4 linked regions of the Drosophila melanogaster genome follow. The protein of the gene in region 4 interacts with the protein of the main gene of each other region in a pairwise test. Each region holds a gene or a part of one and is shown on either strand. Other genes may lie near its edges. The genes, in order: l(3)05822, RapGAP1, Rbpn-5 and sprt.

Region 1 (5,419 bases), on a different chromosome or scaffold from region 4:
GCCAAAGTGGTGTTCTCCACGCCTGTGCAGACTCTACCGTATGTAGTTTGGTAAAAGCAGTAACATTTAAATGTTAAAATTTCTGTTCCTTGCAGCATTAAATCGGAATACCTCAAGTCATGTTTGGCCAAAATTCAGGAAAATCCCGTTTCATCCAAGCGAGACTTCTTGCACATTAAACTTATCATCTACATGGACGCCTTGCAGTCGCTAATTTCCCTTCGTTCGCGTCAAATGCAAAAGGCTGAGCTCTCTGGTATCACGGAGAAGATCGAGAATGATATACGCCATCGTTTTGCGGATCCCAATGTGGCAAAGAAGGGAACTCGCACCAATTTCAGCAGTGAAAAGGCACTGACACACTTTATTGTGATGGCCCTGCTCCTCAGTGAGAAGTTCGAAGTGGACATCAATGTCCTCTCCCGTGCTTTGGCCACCACCAAGGCTCGGATCAAGCAGTACGCCCACATTGTGAACGCTCTGCCAAAATCCAATTCGGACATCCTTAGCCTGCGCCTGCCCAGCAAGGTTCCGGCTCTAAAGTCGGGCCGTCGCTTCCAGCGCAAGAAGTAGGAGTATCTTCAAGGACACCGCGCCCGCCATCGATTTAACAAACCCTGGCGCGCCAATTACATTTATTGCATCCAGGTACTTCTGATTTTGTTATTTTGGGCAATGCCAGAAGGAATATTATTATTCTAAACGATAGAAGGTTTTGATAAACTAAAATAAATAAAGAAATAAGAGAAAGACCATTAAAGTTTAATTTTAACAAATGCCTGGGAATTTAAATCGATTTTAGACCAATGGCCAATTGCTGCCATGGAAACGAAAAATATTCCCACGACCCAAAAAATGATGACCCATTGAAAACAGTTTGCAATGATTAACTTATTATGCTACGGTATTATACACTTTTTATTTACGTTTTTAGATTGAAAATCAAGAATAACATTAGGCGAGTACACTGGCAACGGAATAGTTGCTTGCTAATTGCTTGGAAGTGACGACAAGGTTTTCAAGTGCTCCATAATAAATTTTGTTATTACAGCAGGATGGATGGCCGATCAAAAAAGTATGGTATTTGTGTTGTTGGTGTGTGCTGGTGTACGACGGCAATCTTGTTAGTCCCTCCCCCTTTTAAGTCATCTTCATCGCGAATTCCGGCAGTCCTGCCATTCCTCCACTCTAGACGGCCAGTCCGAAGACCGAAACGATGCAGTACATGGTCTTGTTCTCCCAGCGTACTGTGCACGATCCGTCGGTGTCGTTGTTCCAGTAGCAGGAGCTGGCGGTGTGGAGTCCAGCACCGTTCTTTTGCATGATCATGGCGGTCACAATGTACTTGTAGGGCTTCTGCTCCTTGGTGAGCACCGTCAGGCAGTTCTCCACCACCTGGCCGGTCCAGTTGTTCACCTTGTCGTGCTGGTAGGCGTTACCGCCGATGGTCGTCTCGATGGCCTCTTTAATCGTCTTGCTCACGTCGTCCACAATGAACTGGCTTTCTTCGCGTGAGTCATCCATCGTCGCAGCTTTGATTTGCTTCTAACGGCAGCTGGTCAAAAAAGTTTACGTACTGAGCTCAAGTTTGTATTGTTGTCGTTGTAAATGTGCGCGCGTTTTTGGGCTCGTCGGCGGCGTTCGAGCAGTCCAAATAATATATATCGGGATTCTATTTTTCTAAGGGATGCGGAAAGCAAAGTTTGCTTTTAATTTGGAAGTATTTTCTTGGGCACCTTGATCTGGTCAGACTGTGTTGCAATTTAACCGGAGAAACGGTTACATCGTGGGTCATTTCAGCATCTTCACACTAGAGATTTCAAGAGAAGAAACAGTTGTCTTTTATTAAAAACAAAGGTTTCGCTATCAACATTTTCCAAAGCAATTAGTCAAGGAGAGTATAATTAGATTAAGTACTTTCAAAAGGAACCAAACAAGTTAAAACCTATTATAACCATGATGCCAGTGGAAACACATCTAAGCATTTAAATTAATCGATAGAAAACAGTGCTGAAAACCGCGGGAAAATTAAACTTTTAATCGCTGGATTATTTCGACTGCAAGCCACGGTCACTCTGGCAGAATCAACATAACGGACGCGTTCGCGGCGCAATAAAAACGAAAAATAATTAAATTATTCCATAACTCTTCTGCGACACCATTGAAAAACATCGACGCATATCAAGGCCGACAAATATCGCTATTAAATGCACAGCTGAAAGCGATTCGTGCAGCACGTCGTTGAATTGAATTAAATTCGTTATGGGAAAGTGCCTTGGTGTGTGTGTGCGTGCGTATAATTAAGCAAAAGTATTTAGCAAATCGAAGGCGCACATTTCGCAATACACGCTGCGAAATAATCGGGTGATAATTGTCGCAGCTGCAGGCGCACTTCCTTCTCCATCTCCTGCTTTCTTCGTTTTTGTCTCTGCGGATACGTGCTACTACTTTTGCAGCTGCTGTTCAGCTATTTAGCGCGTGTGTGTGAGTGCGCTCCGCGGCTGCTGCTGTTGTTGTTTTTGTTGGCTCACCTCTCGTTAACCACCTTGAATGCGAGTGAACGAGCGAGAGGGGGTGAGAAGAGTGCAAAGTTGATGCCCGCGAGTGTGCGCTTGTCTCTCTGTGTGTGTATGACAACAAATTGAGTGCGACTGTGTGCGTGCGGCATTAGTCACTCTCTTTAACTTTTAACTGTTTTGGTCCACCCTCTGCGAACCAAAAAGGCAAAGACAAAAAAAAACCACTAAACCAACTTTGCGGATCGGTTTTTTTTTTTTGAATCGAAACGAATCGGATCGGAACGAATCGGAAATCACCAAAAGGTTAGTTACCCGCAATTGATATTTAACCACAACATCACCCTGACAACTGCTTGCTTTTGCAAACATACATACATATGTAACATCACTCCACCATTCTCATCAAAGTTTTGCTCAAGCTACTTACTTAATTGAAATTCCAGTCAAGGTCGCATTTGTTAATTAATTAAATGTTTGCCCGGCTGACTGCAAGTATAAGGCAAAAGGGGAAACTTGGCGACTGCACAATAGTTATTGTACAATTCAAAAAGTATTGCATAAACCGATATGCTACGTTTGTTCCGACTGTTTACTCAAGCCTCAAGCGATAAGCGGGGAGTACAGTGACATTTATGGATGGGATGGGAAACCCATTTTCTGTTTTGACTGCATAATCGCCAGCACACGAAAAACACTGTCATTGCATTTAACGAATAACTGGAATTATTAGAGAACAGCTGCCTACATAAATACCGCTTCAAATGGTCACCATTGGTCACTAAATACACTTTTTTTACGAGTCATACATTTGCAGTTTTTCTCTCTGTGTAACTCTGCACGAAGCTTCTTCTTTACCCATTAATAAAATAGAAAACCGAAGGAGTTTCGTTTTCGTTTTGTCACTTTCGGACGCAGCAGGTGGTGCATTTGCGCGCTTACCTCACTTTCCAGCTGACTGACTTTCGGGCGATCCTCACATGGTAGCCATAACCATATAACATATGCTATTCCAGCACCCTTTTTCTCTACGCCAGTGCCCAGTGATAAAAACCCTTCGCAGAGCAATCTTCATATGACAAAAACAGGAAATGTATATCACGCAATGTATATATACATATATATATATATATATTACACAATCTTTTAGAGAAGTGCAATCTTATGAAATGCCAAGCAATAAAGCGGTTTAATATGCTTACTTAAATCGTATACACCGTTTCGTTATGATAACGGCAGATGATATCAAAAAGTATCAGAATATTAAATATTATTATACGCCCAAGGGTATCATTTATACGACTGAATCTGATGCTACACGCAAATGGCACAAAAGATCCTCTTTATAGGCTTTTCAAAGTGCATTGTTTTTTAACTACTGAAATGGGCGGCAAGTGTTTTGCTTTTGCACTCAGTACTCGGATACACATTGGAGTGCACAGAAATGTGGGCGTGTTCGAAAGTACTGATGTAAGCTTTCAGCTCTGATTGTGTTCAACTTTGACCCACATTCGCCAAGTGTCCCGCCATGAAACGCACGAGTGGATTGCAGGGGTAGGAGATGGAGGAGCATTCAGTGATGAATTTCATCTGCTGCTCCCCATATATTTTACATGCAAACGTGCAATTTTCAGACCGCATTGTTTGTCTAGAATTTGTGGGTTTAGCACAAAACTACATTGTATATGCAGTATGTCTATCAATAGTTGTGTGTATGTAAATACGCTTTTAGAACGAACTGCACGAGCTGGAATGGAACGGCAGGGAGAACAAAAAGTACAGAAAAATACATACATACATAATACGTACGTATGTATACGATGAACAGGAAAACGTGCTGACAATGTAGAATGGTTATTTCACCTATTTCATACTTATTCATTCCGCTTTTGCATAGCAAATAAAAATTAGTAGGAAGACTTGTGAAGACTATGCAAAATCTTGGGTTAAGTAAGTAAAACCCGTTTTTGCATTTGGGCTTTTGCCTGTTCTTCGCCTTTTCCGGTCTCCCCTATAAGAATTTTAGATTTTTTTTTTCTGTTAAGACTGCTGCTGCTTAGAGCGCCAAATTTGCCGATCAAATATTTGCTAGCGTGTATCTGCGTAAAGATTGTTGTCGCACCAGATTCAAGCTGTATCCACAAGCGCTCATTAATCTTTAACCCCTCGATGATAAAGAGCTCTTTCGACGAACGAGACTGCCTTTTAAAGATCGCCAGAGCTCAATAAACCTTAACCTCAAAGAATTGAACAAAGCATGGCTCTGTTTTCCCATCATTGCCCATCTTTATCGCACTTGATGTAAATTGAATGATTTCGGCTTCGTTGTTCTCTCCGTAATTTGCTTAATTGCATGAACGCATTGCGGGCACGTTCTTTTCGATTCTGATTCTGCCATATTGGGCAGGTTTTGAGGCGCTTGAAAAACAACTACTGACACCAGCGAAGGAAGCCAAAAGTTGGGCGTGTTTTTATAACCGTTAATCGTAGAGTAGGGCAAAGCTAGCCGAGTACAAAAAATCTTTTTTTGAACTCCGGAAGCTTGGACCACGCATCGTGGCTTTTTGCCACGTCACTCTAACGCCCTAAAGCCGTTAAAGCGGTCACGCCCACACTTTTGAAAATTGTTAAAATATTTTCTCATTTTGTTACCCAACATCATCGATATCCCAGAAAAATGATGAAATTTTGCATTCACACTAGCTGAGTAACGGGTATCTGATAGTCGAGGAAATCGACTTGATCATTCTCTCTTGTTTCAGTTAAGTTCATTTAACTTGCAATGTATGGCATTAAATTCAATTGACTTCGACGTTACGACGAGCATTGCCTTCGTTTTATTTTGTTCATCTGATGGGGGAGCTTTTATTGCCGCTGCTCCCATTTGCTATTTTTACGCTACA
Region 2 (5,617 bases), on a different chromosome or scaffold from region 4:
GTTTGCGTGCTTCGTGGCTGCCTGTGTTACGTTACGCACATTTTCGCGTATTTGGGTGAGTCGAAGGGGGTGCTGCATATGTTTGTGGCAAATGGGGGGCCGATAAAGAGGGGCATACAAGCGACAGCTTGGACATGTTTGCCTCAAACCCCTCAAAAAACGACGAACCAAAATGCAAGTGTCTCGCCTTACAGTCGCCCCCAACTCTTTCACTAGGTTTTTCTTTGAGCCTGATTTATGTCGTCGAGTGTCGCGGGTGTTGCGTGCCGGCACCCACAGACCCCTTCTTACCCCTTCCTATAGACAGGAAAAAATTATGTTTAATAAATAAATATAAAGTTTAACAAAGAAATATTAAGCTTATTCTTGATCCTAAGCTATACGATTGTATAGAAATATTTCTAAATGTATATGAACATACTAAACTATCTGTATCTATTTAGATTGTTTTCAAAAAATAGTTGTTACTTGAGCAGATTTTTAAGAACACATAGAAAAGCCAAGAGTTTTTTCCAGTGCAGTTATCCGAGACTGCGGGCAGTGCAGTTTTAGTTTTTTTTTCTACTCTGCGGTCAGTTTGCTGTCTTCTTTCGATTGGCACTGAAGCGGAGCATGCGATTTCCGCTTTAATGTAATTTTGACAACGCACACACGATGCTCGAGTGGTCATGGGGGATGGGGGCGGTGCTGGGGGGTTGATGTAGGGGGGCGGTTGCGATTGAGTATCGTCATCAAGGAAATGTCATGATAAATCTTACTCGACTTTCCCGTGGCCGAAACCGTTACAGTAGCAACTGCGAATTCGATTTCGATTTGGGTTTTCGATTTCACTTTAAATTGGTTTTGATACTCTGTAATTAGGAGATCGCGATAGGGGGAAAATTAAACATTAAACACTTATTAAGTCACATGAATTTTTGAAATGCATCAAAAGGCATTAAAACAGATAAGAAGTATTTCGACAAAATAGAAATGCCATTTTCTATTTTGAATGCAGGCAGATGCATTTTACTAAAAAGAGTATCTTGAAGCTACAACGACTTGATTTCTTTTTTATAATTTTCATATTTACAGCTCTCTTATCGAGCGATTTGTTTTGCATGTTCCATTTATCTGATTTGCTGGATATTCCATTACCTGTTAACTCGATTGCAGCGGCATTTAGCAGTTGTGGAACCACTTTTCGACGCCACTGTCTTCATCCCCCCCATCGACTTTAATGCACTTATTCTCCGTCCGTTTTTTGTGCATATTGCGACGCCCTGAAGTCTGTTTCCTTATCACCCTCTTTTCGAGAACCATTAAAGTTCTTGGTGGTGACCCGCAGCAGAATCGTAAACCCAGCTTGACTCATTGATGCATCGATGAGACATTTATATTTTCCAGTTGTCCCCACACTACTTTTTCCTATTCCAAGTGCCATAGAAATGAGGAAAATCTGAGTAAAATCGTCGCTTATTATGCGCAAATCAATTTCCCAGCACCTGAAAATGTCAAACGAAGGTGTAAGAATCAGATAAGAGAAAATCTTGATGGATTGTTTAATTAATTAACCAAAGTCTAAATGGTGATTGATTGGAGCATTGAACTAGACAATGGTTTCTATTCATGGGGCGTGTTAAAGGGGGCGGTGCTGAAAACCCTGAGATATCCGATAGCTGGAAATGGTAAATAAAAATAAATAAAGACGTCTCTATATGTACGGATTACACTTAATTTGTATATCGGCAGCAATAAAATGAAAACGAGCTGACTTAGCGGAATCCCAGCTCGGTCATTTATCACCAGCACAGTAAAACTGAAATACAATCCAAAACTAGTAAAAACGTTTAACTGGCGCTTAAGAATGGAATATACCTTTTATATTTATAAAAGAGTACAATATCCACTTCTTTAGTGGTTTCTAAATTAAACCTAAAAAATGTAAATTTAATTTTTAATAAAACACATTAACCCCAAAAAGGTGAGAATATTTATTATTTATAGTACATTGTTTGAATTAAGTCCTCACATGATTAGTGAGAGGTTTGGTTTTATCTTTTATATGTTAATTGCGCTGTTATGTTACTGTTATTGCATTGTATTGATTCATCGCTTCTAAATAAATAAATATATAAAAAAAAAAACATTGTTTGAACAGATTTTTGATGCTTATATGATCGCTTTAAGTACATATATTCCCAATTAAGATCAGAAGTACCCGGTATGTTTAAAATAATGAAATCGCAAGAAATATAAGTAAATTCAGAAAAAAACACTATGCAATAAAACGTGCGAAGTTATAAAAACAATGGAAATGGAAAGAGAGGGAGAGCAAAAACAAGCGAGGGAGAACGCTCCAGATAATGGAGCTCGGTTCTAAAAAGTCGGTTCTTGGGGCTCTGTTCCGATTCTTTGTTGCGGTCAGTCGGAAAATCGAAGGCGGCGCGACGCGACATCATATCGAAACCCCAACGAAACGCGATTTATGCAACGAACGAATTCTAATTTATGCAAAGAAAAAAAAAATGTAGACATAAATTAATTTTATAACTATAGTCACATTGTGTAATGAGTGAATATAATAAATCTAAGTGTAAGCCCGGAGTAGAAATGATAAGAGTACCAATTCGCAGTGAAAAATATAAATTAAAAATATAATATATTCTACAATCTATATGGAAAGTTATAAACGTATATATTTCAATTAACTTAATAAATTCATTATAATAAAACAAACTAATAAAAAACACATGCAATTACTAGAGTACATAGTACATATTCTGTTAGTACATATTCTCAAGAGTAACCTTTCAAAATTTAGTAGATTTAGGCGATAAAAATGAGTTCCTACAGGACATTGGTGGATCATGGCCATCCGATTATAGTGGGAAGCAGTGAAATATCGCTGGCCCCGAGTTCGGCAGCCAGTTCGCCCAAGCCCCTACACCGGATGATCAAGTACTGGCGCAACAGTTCCGGAAAAATTCCGGGTCTCCGCAAAAGCGAGAGTTTCGCCGAGTATCGTCGCCATTCATCCAACTCGGCCACAATTTCGGGAGGATCAGGGGGCAGATCGAGCACTTCGAGTGCCAGGCAATTGCAATACCAGCGACTGGAGATGGAAAGCTGCGAGAATATAGATATGCTGACAGAACCACTAAGGTAAGTGCACTTAATGATAAAAACTAGTTTTTTTTTTCAATTTATTCATTAATAAATTACTCATTTTTATGAGTGCCAAGATATTAATGTGGTTAATCGTTTAGAATCAGAGCATCAGGTGGTCAAGAATTTAAAATTTGTTTGTGCCTAGCATTTGAAAGGTTTTAAAATGATTTTACCCATTTATTACCTACACATCGTAAACAAATCAATTTTATTTCTTTCTCTTGTAAATCACTTCCATGGAGACCGAGATAAATGTTGAATGACCAAATATATGCATGCATTCCATACCTGTTTATATAGAAACTACCAAAGAAGTGGCATCCATTGTCTTGCGGTTCACTTTGATGTGTAACCCCAAAAATGTGGGGCATGCAACAGTTGGTTATCTGTTTTCGGGTTTTCGAAACGCCCCTCGCAGCTGCGGTTTATCGTGTGGTTATCAGCTGTTCGTTATCAGCCGCCAACGAAAACATCGGCAAGCATGTGGATGATAAAAACGAGGGAACAAGTGCAACACGCCGACGTCATTTTGTGGATTGTGGAAACAGTTCGCGGGAGAACTGCATTTTTTGCATTTACAAATACAAGTCGAAAGTTTGTGAACACTTTTCAAAGTGATTCTTTTTCCACAAATTGTTAGATTTGGTGTACAAGACAAAAAACAATGTTTAGTCAACAAAAGTTGACGGAAAATTCTTTTTTATAACTACTATAACATACATACATACATATTCAATTTCGTATTCTGTAATACTTATTCGGGTTGACATCAGAAATCCAGAAAAATGGTATATCCAAATTGTGAAAATACTTTCTCTCGAAAAAGGCTCATGAAAGAACGTGTTCTGGAATAACACCACTTTCCAAGGGGGCGAACGCCGACTGTTTTTGGCTCGTGCCTCTGTTTACTTGTGTATTGGTGTCCCACGCCGGTTCCGGTTATTCGGTTTGTTTTGGTTATCTCTCGGTGGAGGGAAATCATTGCCTTCTGCATACTTTTGGGGTACACTGTGCAAATAATTAACTGGCAACTGCATTGCCGGCTTCTTTGAATTGCATTGTTTTCCAAACTGTTTACTTTGGCTAATGCGGGCAGCTCCGCTCTCCCCTGGCAACAACTCTTTCTGTTTGCCTAAACTGCGCGCATTTGGAATGTAAATAAATGTAAATAAACAAGAATTTCGCCCCCATAAAGGCAACAAAAGCAGTGAGAGCAGAACAACAACAAACTCGCTCTCTCGCCTTAACAAAAATGCAACGTGCACGTACAGTTAAGGTCGCAGCAATAGCACGGATTTTTATAAAATTATCTGCTCTTTAATATGAATTAATGCATATCTGTATCATCACATGTTTTACATGTTATTTCATATATCATTCCACTCTTCTTTGTCTGCGCTGCATTAAATAATTTTTATCTGTCTAAGCTTCATAATATATGTGTACATAAATAAAATCTCCATAACTGGATCCACAGCCACTATTATTTTGGCCCCCACTGTGGAGTTTGTGGATCGCATTCGCCAGTGGAACCTGAAATCTGAGCTTCGTGCGCAACGATGTTGTTCGTCGCTCGCATTCGTGTTCGTTTGGGGCCAGACCCGCAGCTTTTCTGCTTTGCGACTCAGAGTCGATTTGTGAACCAACTCGTGTGGGCGTCCGAGCCAGCGAGTGTCCGACTAAGTGTGTGCGTGTGCGAGGACGACCGGGCGTGTGTGTGAGCGTTGTCGCGCGTCTGCGTCGCGAAATCCTGATATCGGGAATCGGAACAGGAATCGTAATATATTTCGGGTCTGCGGTCCAGACGCTGATGCGTCTTCTTCATTAGCTGTTCGAAAAGTAACGGTAGAACGCAAAGCAGTTGCAAATCGACAGCAACAGAAGACGGCGAGAAGCGCCACGAATGGAAAAATCAAAACAAACAAGAAAATTGTTAAAAAAGAAGAGCAAACAACAAACGAATACTCGAATATGTGAAAGTGCTAGGTAATCAACCAAAAAAATTATAAAATTAATATAACCAATTAAGGCAATGATGATTTGTGGTTTTGAATTCTTGAAAAAAGTGAACAAAAACAAATCATGCTAAGCATAACACGCAAACTTTCTTCAACAATTAATTTGCAATTGATCCCACTGAGGCGGTTTCCTAAACAGCCTAAACAAAAGAAAGAAAACGAAAGCAATAAATAGACAAACAATAAGCAAAATGTTTGACGAACTTTTAATTGAACGTGTGTGCTTGAATAACAACAAATTGAAATCGCATTTGTTGGCCTTATCAAAAAATTAGAAGCGAAAGTGGCAAAGGTGTCTTAATGGGCAAGACAAATAGAAATCAAAATAAGTTTGCCAAAAAAAAAAAACAGCTGCATAAATACGCGCACGTAGTTAAAAGTGAAATTTTTAAACAAAAATCGTTGGCTGAAATTGAAATGTAACGAGCAAAGAATCCAAAAGCAGAAGC
Region 3 (5,720 bases), 9.7 Mb from region 4:
CAGCACAGGTGTATTTATTTGAATGGCTGGCAACTGAACTGTTTACTATTTTCCAAACAATTTTCCGAAGAGCTTGATAAGCAAACAAACTCATTCAGTGCACTTCTTCTCTAGGATTTCTTGAATATCTTAACTTTTTCGGCTGTAACCTAATGAAATTGTCTCTAGAGGAGAGCACTTTATCTTCAGGCAGTTGATAAGCCAATTGATCTATAGAAGCTGGATGTTCTGGGTCATGGATCTCACCTTCGATTGTGCGGAATACAACGGCACCGCCGATATTGTATAGTGCCAGGATGAGGATGAGGAAGATGTGGGTGAACCATCGGCGCGACCACTTGTACATGCCGAAGGTCATCTTCTCGCCGAAGCTCAAGCCCGACTTTGTGATATCGAGGAAGCCCTCGTAGCCCTTGGTCATAAAGTTGCCGTATCCGAAGGGATTGGCCATTGGTGGCCAGTAGGGTCCCTGTGTTCCATTGCCCGTGAAGTTCGTTTGGGCCGTATAGGGTGGCTGGGCACTGGGTGGCATCGATGCCTGGCTCATTGCCGATCCGCTGGTCAGATTGTGGATGTTGATCCTGGGCGGTCGATTTGCCCGCCGTGAAGGCGGCGGTGTGCTGGGAATGGGTGTTATGCTCTGGGTTTGCGACATGGTCGGTTTTTTTTTTGGTATATCCGGGAATCTATATGGATTCGCTTTGCAATTTTCTAATTGATATCCGTAGGAACTCAAAACATTGGGCACTTTATGGTCATTATTCAAGTTCCGTTCACATACATATATCGCGGCGGTTGTACTTATATATTTGTATTATTTTTAAGTTTATAAGTAGAAATGCCGTCGCGATTCCAAGGCGCCGCGTATTTATTTCTTCGCGTACTTTTTTTTCCCGCTTCCGACCGCCTCGTTCCTGAATCCAATGCGAACTGAACAGACGCCAAATATTTTGGCCAACATCGCTGCTGTTGTCGCTGGGCATAATGCTGTAGTATTTGTATCGGCCACGAATCTCCGGCTGCCGACTATGACGACATCGAAAGTCATGAGCTCACAAGCCTGCCAACAAGTCCAAGACCTAGAAGACCCAACGGATCTCAGCGTACACTGACGAAAAAAATGGTCTATGTAATGCCTAATGCTATGATTTAATTAATATTATTGGCTATAAGGTGGTTAACAAATGTTTAAAGTTAACATTAGTTACAGCGTACAATTATTTTTTACCTATCGACTAAAATGTTTTCCAATTTCTGGTAGTGTACAGCCATGATAATTTTATAATTAGTCAAGTTTTCGGCTTCCTCAGCCGATGCCGAAATTCTGAAATCGAGTTTTGTTCTGGTTAACGCGTAGTTTTGTTATCTCAAATAGTTTGCTATATTGTTATATTTAAATATGTTTTCTCATTAGCTAGGCATTATTGAAGTATTCATTTTCCTCTCATAATTTATCAGCTCTTAGCGTTTTCTCGCGTTTCTGGCGCTTAATAATTTGCATAAAATTAAAAGAACTGACGGTATTAGTCATTCATGATCGGCAGTCATTTACCTTTTCATAGAATTGTGTCTAATATATTCTGCCGTTGTCATTTGGCTTACACACAAATGTTGAAACACTTTCTAGGAAATGCTTAAGAAAATCCTAAATAATTAAGAACGATTAAGATGCAATTATAAACATTATACAAATTTAAATTATATGGTATTGTTTATTTATATTCCTTACCCATTTGTTTTCTTTTTCTATTTATAGTTCCTGATGGCTGATGATAACAAAAAATTCGAGGAATATCTAGATTTAGATTTTAGACTAAGATATAAAAGGACAAAGGAGTGATTTTAAAGGATTCCGACTTTTAACTTAATAAAACGGGTTCTTAAAAAGGACACATTAAAAGGACATAAAATAAGAATACATTTGCAAATTGGCGAAGGGAAATTATTAAAACTATTTTACCAAGTATCTGTAAGTAAATATTTTAAACTTTCTATACTTCTATAGAAAACTTAATCCCAAAAGATGTTTATCAAGCTCAATAAAGTTAGATTTTGAAAACCTTTTTTAACGGCACTGCCAAGCAATACTAAAGTATTAACTATCGGTATTATTCAAATATGGTAACACCAAGAGCAGTGTTGAAAATCGCTCAAATGTATATGTTCTAATTGGTGCGCTCACATATGTACATATAAACTAATAAATTGGCCATCACACAATATAGAAAATGGAAGAAAACGAGACCCGGTCAGAGGCCAGGGAACCCACGGACCTGCCCAATGGTAAGGCAGCACCACAGGAAGCCTGAACAGCCGATAACTAACCCATAACTCCAACGGCAGGTGAGGATGACGCGACCAGCCAGCACAAACTCAGTCACCTGCAGAACGAGATGCGCAAAATGCAGAACGAGTTCAACACGCAGCGGGCGAAGATGCGGGAGCTGTACATCCAGAAGGAGGCGGAGGTCAGCCAGAGCCAGCAGGAGCGACGGCAGCTGCAGGCGGAGCTGGACGAGCTGAAGACACACCTAATGGTGGCGGACCTTAAGTCGCAGAACGAGCTGCAGCTGAGGGACCTCAAGGCGCAGGAGGAGATCTCCTCGCTGCAGCAGCTGGTGCAGGACACTATCGAGGAGACCGCGCACTACAAAGGCGAGGTGGAACGGCTCAGGCTGGAGCTGGGCAAGTACCAGCAGATTCAACAGCAGACGATGGCTCAACAACCGCAGGCCGAGTCATCTGGCGGTATAGCGCCGCAGGTGCTCAATCAGGTCAAGAAGACACTAGGCTCTGTGCGTAAACTGGGCACCGACTCCCTGAACAGCAGCTTTCAGCAGGACGAGGACACCCGGGCATCGAGCAAGGGCAATGGCAAGCAATACGTATGTTTTCGGGACTAATCTTTCAACTATCAAATTAACTGAGCTTATATTGCAGGCTCCTGAGGAGGCGGAGATGATGCACTCAATTGTCGAGCAGCTTCAGGAGGAGATGAAGGCACTAAAAGTGAAGCTGCGCGAACAGGACGAGCAACTGCAGGCCAAGTCGGCGTCCGATGAATCCGCCCTGCACAAGTCCACGTCCATGGACGTCGCCGAGAGCGCCTGCGAGTCGTGCAGCTTGGCAGAAAAGAAGACCGAAGAGCTGGGTGCCCATATAAACAAACAGCAGAAACAGGTGGATCTGCTGCAAAAGCAGCTGGTGGAATCCCGGGAGACACTGGTTAAGGAGGCGGCATTGCGCAAGGATCTGGAGGACCAGTGGCAAGAAAAGCGGGAGGCCCACAAAAGCGAAGTACAAAGCCTGCGTGACCAGGCCAAAACCAACGAGCAGCGACTGCTGGACATGCAGCAAAAGTTTCTCGAGACCAAGGACGAGGTTATTAAGCAGATCCAGCGCGTCTCCGACGACCGAGAGCGGGTCAACAAGCAACTGGAGACGTTGCAGGCGGACAACGACTTTCTGTCCGGTCGCTATCTGGCCACGTCCGAGGAGATCGACAACCAATATATCAATCTGCCCAACACGGTCGTCGAGCTCCAGGAGCTGATACTGCGACAGCAAAGCGAGCTAATCCAAGCACGCGTCAGCAGCGAATACGAGCGACAGAAGTGCACCAGCACTGAAGATGAGATTCAGATCTTGCGGGCCCAGCTGGAGGAGAGCAACAATGAAAGGCGGGCCTACAAGCGCAAAATGCAACTAGATATTAAGTCACTGCAGTAAGTTACAACCTCTTGTCTATGGTGGTGTTCACTTTGGCCCACGTTTTAAATGAATTTTCAGGGATCGGGTGACGGAACACTTGGTCACGGTACAAGCGTACGAGACTACCAAAACCCAACTGGAGCGCAAAGAGGCTGAGCTGAACAAGCAGCTCTCCGAGTGTCGCGTGGAGATCATTGAGCTGCAAGAGGCCAATGTAAGCTATCATATTTTGTTGTCACACTTGATTCTTCGCTAACCAGATCACATTACAGGAAAAGTACGCCAAAACAAATGCAGACTACAAGACGAAGATAAAAACACTACAGGAGGAACTCTCCACCATGGAGACTGTTCAAAAGGACTTTGTCAAACTATCTCAAACGCTTCAGGTGAGTGAGATATAAAAATATATGGTTTATTCACTTAATTAATTACATTGTGTTGTGCCACAGATGTCGCTGGAGGAGCTGCGGCATGCCGACACGGAGGTGCGTTGGCAGGACGATGACGATGTGAACAACTGTCCCACGTGCAATGCCTACTTCACGGTCATGGTGCGCAAGATCCATTGCCGGCACTGCGGCCACATCTACTGCGATAAGTGTCTAACGAAAACGGTGCCATCTGGACCACGGAAGCGAGTGGCCCGAGTCTGTGATATCTGTCACACGCTGCTCACGCCAAACACCGCACCCTACTTCAGTCAGGGACAGCCGCCGCAGCAGCAGCAAGGCCAGCAGCAGCAGCAGCAGTCCAACTAGGCGTTTGGGCTCCAAGCCCAAGTGATTGTGTATTATGTGTGAAGTACGATTACGATTAGTTGGTATCTCCTTGAACTCTATTGCTCTATTTCTGTGCTCCGATACTACGATTACGATCCGAGGTCAAACCTTTCCAATGCCCATTTCCATTTGCCAATGTCTATTTCCGATTTTGTTGTTCCATTATTTTGGCCCTATACATAACGTAAGCGATGAGTTGTCTATGTTAGCTTTCGTCGTAGGTAAGTTTTCGTAACTGAATTTAACTCAAAGCAAATATACAAATTAAAAACAATTAAATTTTTGTTGTTTGTCGCCGCACATCTCTACTTGAACCAACTTTGCCTGCAATAGAGTTGATATCAAAGTAATGAATTGAGTTGTTTAATTCAAAGGCGAGCCATGCAACATAAAGTTTGTGTTCTTGTTTATTTAAAAATGCTAAGAAAAGAGTTTGTAAATTATTGTTAACAATTGTATTTGTGTCTTCATTTGGTTGCGAGGAGCTAGGATTGGTATAGGTATTTGCTAAATATTAAAACGTAATAACAATTTCGGGCATGCCCATATAAATTCAGTATATACAACTCTCACTTCAACTACCAAATAATGATAAACTAATACTGCAATCTCCGCACTCAACGAAAAACGTTAGCAACTACAGACTTCACAACACACGCACAAACACGGAGGGGGGAATCACACTACTTGAGTAGCAATTACGTCTTGTTTTGGCACACATTGTCTGCGGAAGAGATAGAAAAATGATTACCCAATTAGCCCGTCGCCGGGAGATAGCTAGATTTCAATTCGATTTCGCTTACCTCACCATAGAACACGACCTGCTATCAGAGCAACTATAGTGACAGCTGCCACGCCCACGATGCCCATCATACGATTACCTGGATTGGAAGAGTAGAAGACACAGATCAGTAAGAATTGATGGCAGTGTGTAAATCAAAGGCGTAGGAAACTGCTGCCCCAAATTTCATTTCATATGTACACTTTTAGAAGGGTTAGTTAGGGTTATTTGAGCAGTTTCCTGGAAGCTCGTTTTTATGCATGCAAGTCAAGCCAGGATTGAATATGTGGTTAGCTTTCTATAGCCGCCATTTAGTCTATAAGGGTACATATACCATGGATCAGTCTGTTTTAGGTGTTATGGGGTAGTGTGCTCTGGATCTGGTGCTTGGTGGTGGTTACACTAAACATTGCCTTGACATTCACAAACACAAATCAACCACATAG
Region 4 (5,488 bases):
CATAATAAAAGTACCTCACAGGGAACTATGTTTTAATGGGGTTGCGTGATAGTAACCCTTAGTTTAAACATTCTTGTTCTTCTTGTAAAATTCTTCATTTCCCTGCGCAATGTGCACACTAAATTAGCCTGTTGCCCTAAATCGAGAGCACCTGTCACCTGTGCAAGGACTTTTGGGCGTTCCAAAAACGCGATCAAGTTCCGCTCCCATTGGTTTTTAGCTGGTGAGACAATTTATGTCGTCTCGCGATCTTGGAAATGCTCCATGGACACGCACACCTTTAAGGAAACATGAAAAAATGAGGATCGGCAGTGGAAAGTGAGTCCAGGTAGCGCAACGCAATGTTTTCTTTATGATGGCATAAATACGGTTTTAATTGAGGTTGCAAGCGGCTACTTGTTCGGTCATTGAAATCTCATCCACTTGGCATAAATTACGAAACAGGACTCTCCCTCGGTTTTTTCCATTTTTCAAGTGCCACAAAATGTTCGAGTTTATAATGTTTGGCCTGGCCTTTGGCCCCGACCTCATCCTCAATTCAAGAGCCGATCCCAAATCCCGATTCAATCTTATTCTCGGAAAAGCGAGGGAAACCCAAAGCAAGTTTAGTTTTTCCAGCCACTTGCGGTCTTCGTTTCTTTTTTTTTCGGTTGTGTCGTTGTTTATTTTGTTCGGGATGAAAAACCATAAAAAGTGGTTTCGCGTAACTGACAGCGTCAAGTGATTTTCCTTTGTTTTTCTTTTCGGAGAGGAAGTGTTTCTATTTCTTTCGTTTTTATTATTCGACAGGCAACAAATATCTCTTCGATTCTCCGCATTCTCGATCTTTTGTCTTGGTGCGCTGAAGAAACGAAAGACTGAAGTCACAAACGTGTATGGAAATGAGCAGTCATCCGCTTTCAGATTTGGTAATAGACTCGGTCTAACGGTAAAGCACATTTCACTCGCAAGATTTGATTTATAGCCAGTGGCCCTGCCTCACATTAGCTAATCGAAACGATATCAGCCCGCAGAAAGTTTCGCAATTAGGCGGGCAGAGGGTTAAAATATGACGCACTTAAAGCGCACGAGAGGCGCATGCGTAATCCTTTTTTCCTGTTTTAATTTTTGTTTAATTTTGATTTATGCCCGCTCTTGAATTTCGGCTTTGTTGTGTATCTATTTTTGGGCTGCATTTAATGAAGGGAAATACAATCAACGCCATCAACCCCTACGCATGCGCATTTTACCCTCGGCACATGGCAAAGGGTTTTTTTCGGGATTGTTGTGATCATTTTAATTGACTTTGCGCACGAGCGAACTCATCGGACCGAAGCGCCTAAGATAAAGGGCAGATAGAGGGCACTATATAAAACCGAGTGCCATATGTCGATGACGCCGATCTCGGTGATGCAACTGCATCAGCAGGCAAATGAGCAGTTTAAGATACGCGCTGCATCGTAAAATCTCAGATGCAGCGGCAGCTGTCAAAATAGCCAAAGACACCCACCGAAAAGTCGAGGGAGTGGAGTTCAATGCACTGGAACTCTATTACCACTACCCATCTTACCCATTACGATCACAGCGCCTCGGTCGCACCAACTATAACCCAATAAATCCAAATCCAGGGACCAGTGCACTTCGCAAGTACTCGCTCTACAGAACCGCTCTCTCACTCACTCACCCACCACCAGTTCAACACACCTAGCTCCTTTTGAGCTAAAAATGGATATACATATATATGATTATGATAATTCTAAACCATTCTTCGAGTTAGAAATTTAAAATTGTAGAACTTTTTACTAAGCCACCTAATCATATTTCAAATTAGATATCTATCTCAATTCTTTTACGCACAATTTCATATTTGTCTATTTTTTCACAGACCTTTTCAGCTATTTAGCTTTTCTTTATAAGCAAATCCATACAACACCGACAAAAAAACAGAGAGGGTGCAGTGGTGAGAGCCGGTGAGTGAGAAGCCGAGAGAGCGGCTTCATGTAATGCCCGTTTGCCGCTAAAGTCACGATGTTCAGACTTCATCCAATCGTCGACGCGATCGGTTGTGCTCGCACTCTCCGTGTAATCCGAACCCGATTTTGTGATTAGCCCTCCGCTGCGCCTGCGTGAATTCGTGGACCTTCTTCAATCAACCTGAACCTACGTGAATTTGTGCGTTTTGTTTACTTGTTTACTTGGCCCATTTGAAAGCAAATTTCCTGCATCCTGCATAAACAGAGGAAACGCACAGCGGAAATAGTATGAGTTATTAAGTCGCTGCAAACGGAAATAATTAACAAAAAAAAAATAAAACTAAATGTGCCGATCGCGTTTTAGCAACGGTTTCGATGCGGTTTCAAACACAATCGGTTTAAGCATTGACATCATTGATTTATGTCCCAAGTGTAAATAATTCGCACAATACAATACACCAAATTGAGGCTTCCCTCCCTCCACCAAATCAAACAAATCAAATGCAATGAAATGAAATGTTGCCATTAATTTGCGCACATTGCCATTGTTCAGAGTTATTGGTTGACTTTTAACTGGGATCCGTACTACTTTAAGCTGGTAAGTAGTTTTCATCGCCCATAACAATGGCAACAAATGAAGAGCGAAAATCACTTGCGAAAAGCGAAAGGTTAAGCAGCGTTCAATTGTTGCATTCTAAAATACAGTGCGGCCTCTTTAGAGCAAACGGGGTCGTCGCAGACAAAACAATAATGATGATGGGGCAATTTATCTCTTCAGAAGGCCGCTCCTCATCTTTACTTGGAATTTGTCTTGCATAATCCCCTTGAAAAACAATTCTGATATCTGAATATGGAGGAACTTTCGAACTGTTGTATAACTCTTTCCTATCATAACAAAAGCGGCAGGGATAATTGAAGGCTCCGAAATAAATTAGTTAGCCGACCGTCTATTAAAACGCGATTTGGTTTGTTGATGAGGCGCAGATAAGGCAGTAAATAGCATGGTTTTTTGCTCATTATGCCACAATCAAGTTCAATGTCTCGTCATAGAATACAGAAAAATTAGGTTCAAATTTCTAATAGAATTCCTCAAAGCAGCCACAATCAATCAGTCAAAAATGACTCGATCTCTAACCGACCGACCATACATATAATTACGTCTGAGAATTTTGCGGTTGAATCACAATCTACGATTCTAATACGTTCTACAGACCCCTTTCGAATCGTGGCTCAAATGCAGTGGCAGGTTCTGTTGGTTCGGCTGGTATCTCGGTCTGAACATCACCCATCTCGCTTTTGTCATTAATTTTAATTAGATATTTCCTTTTGGGAGTCACTGGCTGCATTTGAATAACAATTGAACGCCCTCTAAGACGAAATGTATTCTCCGCTTCCATTTCTTCATTGAAATGCCAAACCCTTTATCGGCAGGATGTCTTTGGGGTCTCTAGAGTGTCATTTACATATTCTTCGGATTCTTTTGGCCGTTCGTCTGTGACTTTTGTCTGTTTCTCGATTTTTTTCAATGCTAACAACCTAATCAGAGTTTGTTTTTCGGGTATTTGTTGGATATGGTAATTTTCGAATGACTGTATTTTATTTTTTATGTGGGCTTCATGTCGTGATTTCTCGCCCATGTGTGGACTGAGGTGCATCAACGCATTTATGCTGACTTTTGTTTCGTCTTCTTCGTCCATTAAGTGGGAATAGAAAGCCGAGATTTGGCTAGATAACTTTGCATACATCGTCGACCTGTGATTGTTGACTATTCGGGGTAACTGTTTCGGTTGCGGTTTTCACTTTCATTCAAAGAGGCGCTGTAACAATTAAAACGAGAGCTGCAAATCTCTTCATCTTCTCAAAATAAACCAAGGCAAAACTATCCGCATCGATTTCGCTTTCGTTTTGATCGTATTTCCGATCATTTGACCAGGGCAATTTGCACTTTCTTATAGCGCCTAATCGCAGGCCGACTTTCTAGAATTGATTTGCATAAGTGATTTGTCCAGTGCGGAGACTTTCGCGACCCCAATCTGCATCTCGGTCTAAAGACAGCTGACGTTCTAACTGTGAACGATAAATACACACTGTGTAGAAAAATATGCCCGAGACTAATTGCCCAGTGAAAATGATGGGCAATTATCAGCTGAAATGGCAACAGCTGCACAGCAAACAGCCCGTACAGTGATCACTCCGCAAACAAACAATGGAAATCTATATATTTTGGTGGTGAACTTGGGGTCAATTCCATGACCGTATGCCGTATGGGTCGAAACAAGTTTCTTAACCTAATTATCTGAGCCGCTTCGTAATATATATTTAAAATCGAGCAGATTTTGTACATTCTTTCTTATCAAACTTATGTTCAAATGATGGAAATATAAAGCTGCAAATCAATTTATTAAAAAAGAGAACAAAGCGGTTGCCCCCGTCTATGATATAATAAAAAGTTTATTAGAACTGCTTGCCAAATAAACAAACCAACGACCTTTTCTACAGAAGTCTCTCAAAGTAGAAAGACAAAAAGAAAGATATAAACCCCAAAACAAAGAAATTTACATATTTATGTCAAGTCCATTAAGCATATTCTTGGCCAGTTGTGGGGCCATCTTAGCCCGGTCTGGTCCATTGAGTTGGCCATGTAGTGAGCAGCCTCCGGGGCGATTAAAATTATCAATGTCGGGGCTGCGCTTGTGACACTTGTGCACACATAATAATGCCCGACAAGTCAGGCCAATTGTCAAGCTGGGCTAATTTGTGAGCAGCCGCAGTGTGTTAGTGCCAAGAGAAATATTTCAGCTCGTAAATAACTCGAACAGACAAGCTGCAGGTGTTGGGAAACTACAAACTAAGCAGGGTTAAGGTTTATAGGAAAACCACGTTGTTCGTAAATAACAAAAACAAAACTTATTTGGTGGCAAGCCCGGGGGGCAAATATTTATTCATAAAGGTAATTATAACGCCAAAACGTTAGTGAAACTGAATTAAGTTAATTTTGATAATTGTTTCAACCTTGTAGGAAATATTCAAATATGAAAATAAAAATAAAAACATGATTTCGTACAAATGCCTCCTGTGAGGATTGAACTCACGACCCCTGGTTTACAAGACCAGTGCTCTGCCACTGAGCTAAAGAGGCTCTGTTGAAACGCTGGCCAAAGCGCAATAGGCATAACCGCAGTCAGAACGCTTCTAACAGCTGGAAAAGTTAACAGCGTCCGTATCTGCTAGTTCTAACAGCGCACAAGCCGTTGGCTTTTTCCATTTGCATTAAAGCAGGCGTAACAGCCAGAGCTTCGAATCAAGTTATTACGCGTATATATAAACAAATATATATATATTAGAACCAGGTGTCATCTCCATTTAAGTAATTGAGCAAAATATTTTTGCATTGTTCCAACAAATTGTGGGCGCGCACTGAGCTCATCTCGCAACAATTTTGTAGGCGCGCTTGAAAGAGAATTAATAGTTAGCAAGTAACAGCAGAGGAGCGGGGCTGGTAACGCCCCCTCCGTGAGATAGACAGAAATTTGATT

Evidence for each region.
Region 1: the proteins of sprt (region 4) and l(3)05822 interact in a two-hybrid assay, tested with the Drosophila melanogaster proteins (one large-scale study listed by BioGRID).
Region 2: the proteins of sprt (region 4) and RapGAP1 interact in a two-hybrid assay, tested with the Drosophila melanogaster proteins (one large-scale study listed by BioGRID).
Region 3: the proteins of sprt (region 4) and Rbpn-5 interact in a two-hybrid assay, tested with the Drosophila melanogaster proteins (one large-scale study listed by BioGRID).

What each region holds. Positions count from the first base shown.
Region 1 is NT_033777.3:18,295,527-18,300,945, reverse strand, and holds the start of l(3)05822 (lethal (3) 05822), read left to right. Parts: upstream 1-2,066; 5' UTR 2,067-2,822; intron 2,823-5,419. Other genes in the region: Polr1E (RNA polymerase I subunit E), read left to right, coding at 1-38, 96-573; Dlc90F (dynein light chain 90F), read right to left, coding at 1,189-1,524.
Region 2 is NT_033779.5:7,575,764-7,581,380, reverse strand, and holds the start of RapGAP1 (Rap GTPase activating protein 1), read left to right. Parts: upstream 1-2,400; 5' UTR 2,401-2,821; coding exon 2,822-3,144; intron 3,145-4,773; exon of another isoform or gene 4,774-5,136; intron 5,137-5,367; exon of another isoform or gene 5,368-5,617.
Region 3 is NT_033778.4:21,087,435-21,093,154, reverse strand, and holds Rbpn-5 (Rabaptin-5), read left to right. Parts: upstream 1-2,150; 5' UTR 2,151-2,228; coding exon 2,229-2,283; intron 2,284-2,343; coding exon 2,344-2,885; intron 2,886-2,940; coding exon 2,941-3,725; intron 3,726-3,789; coding exon 3,790-3,925; intron 3,926-3,983; coding exon 3,984-4,100; intron 4,101-4,163; coding exon 4,164-4,472; 3' UTR 4,473-4,769; downstream 4,770-5,720.
Region 4 is NT_033778.4:11,393,956-11,399,443, reverse strand, and holds the start of sprt (sprite), read left to right. Parts: upstream 1-2,011; 5' UTR 2,012-2,550; intron 2,551-5,019; exon of another isoform or gene 5,020-5,091; intron 5,092-5,488.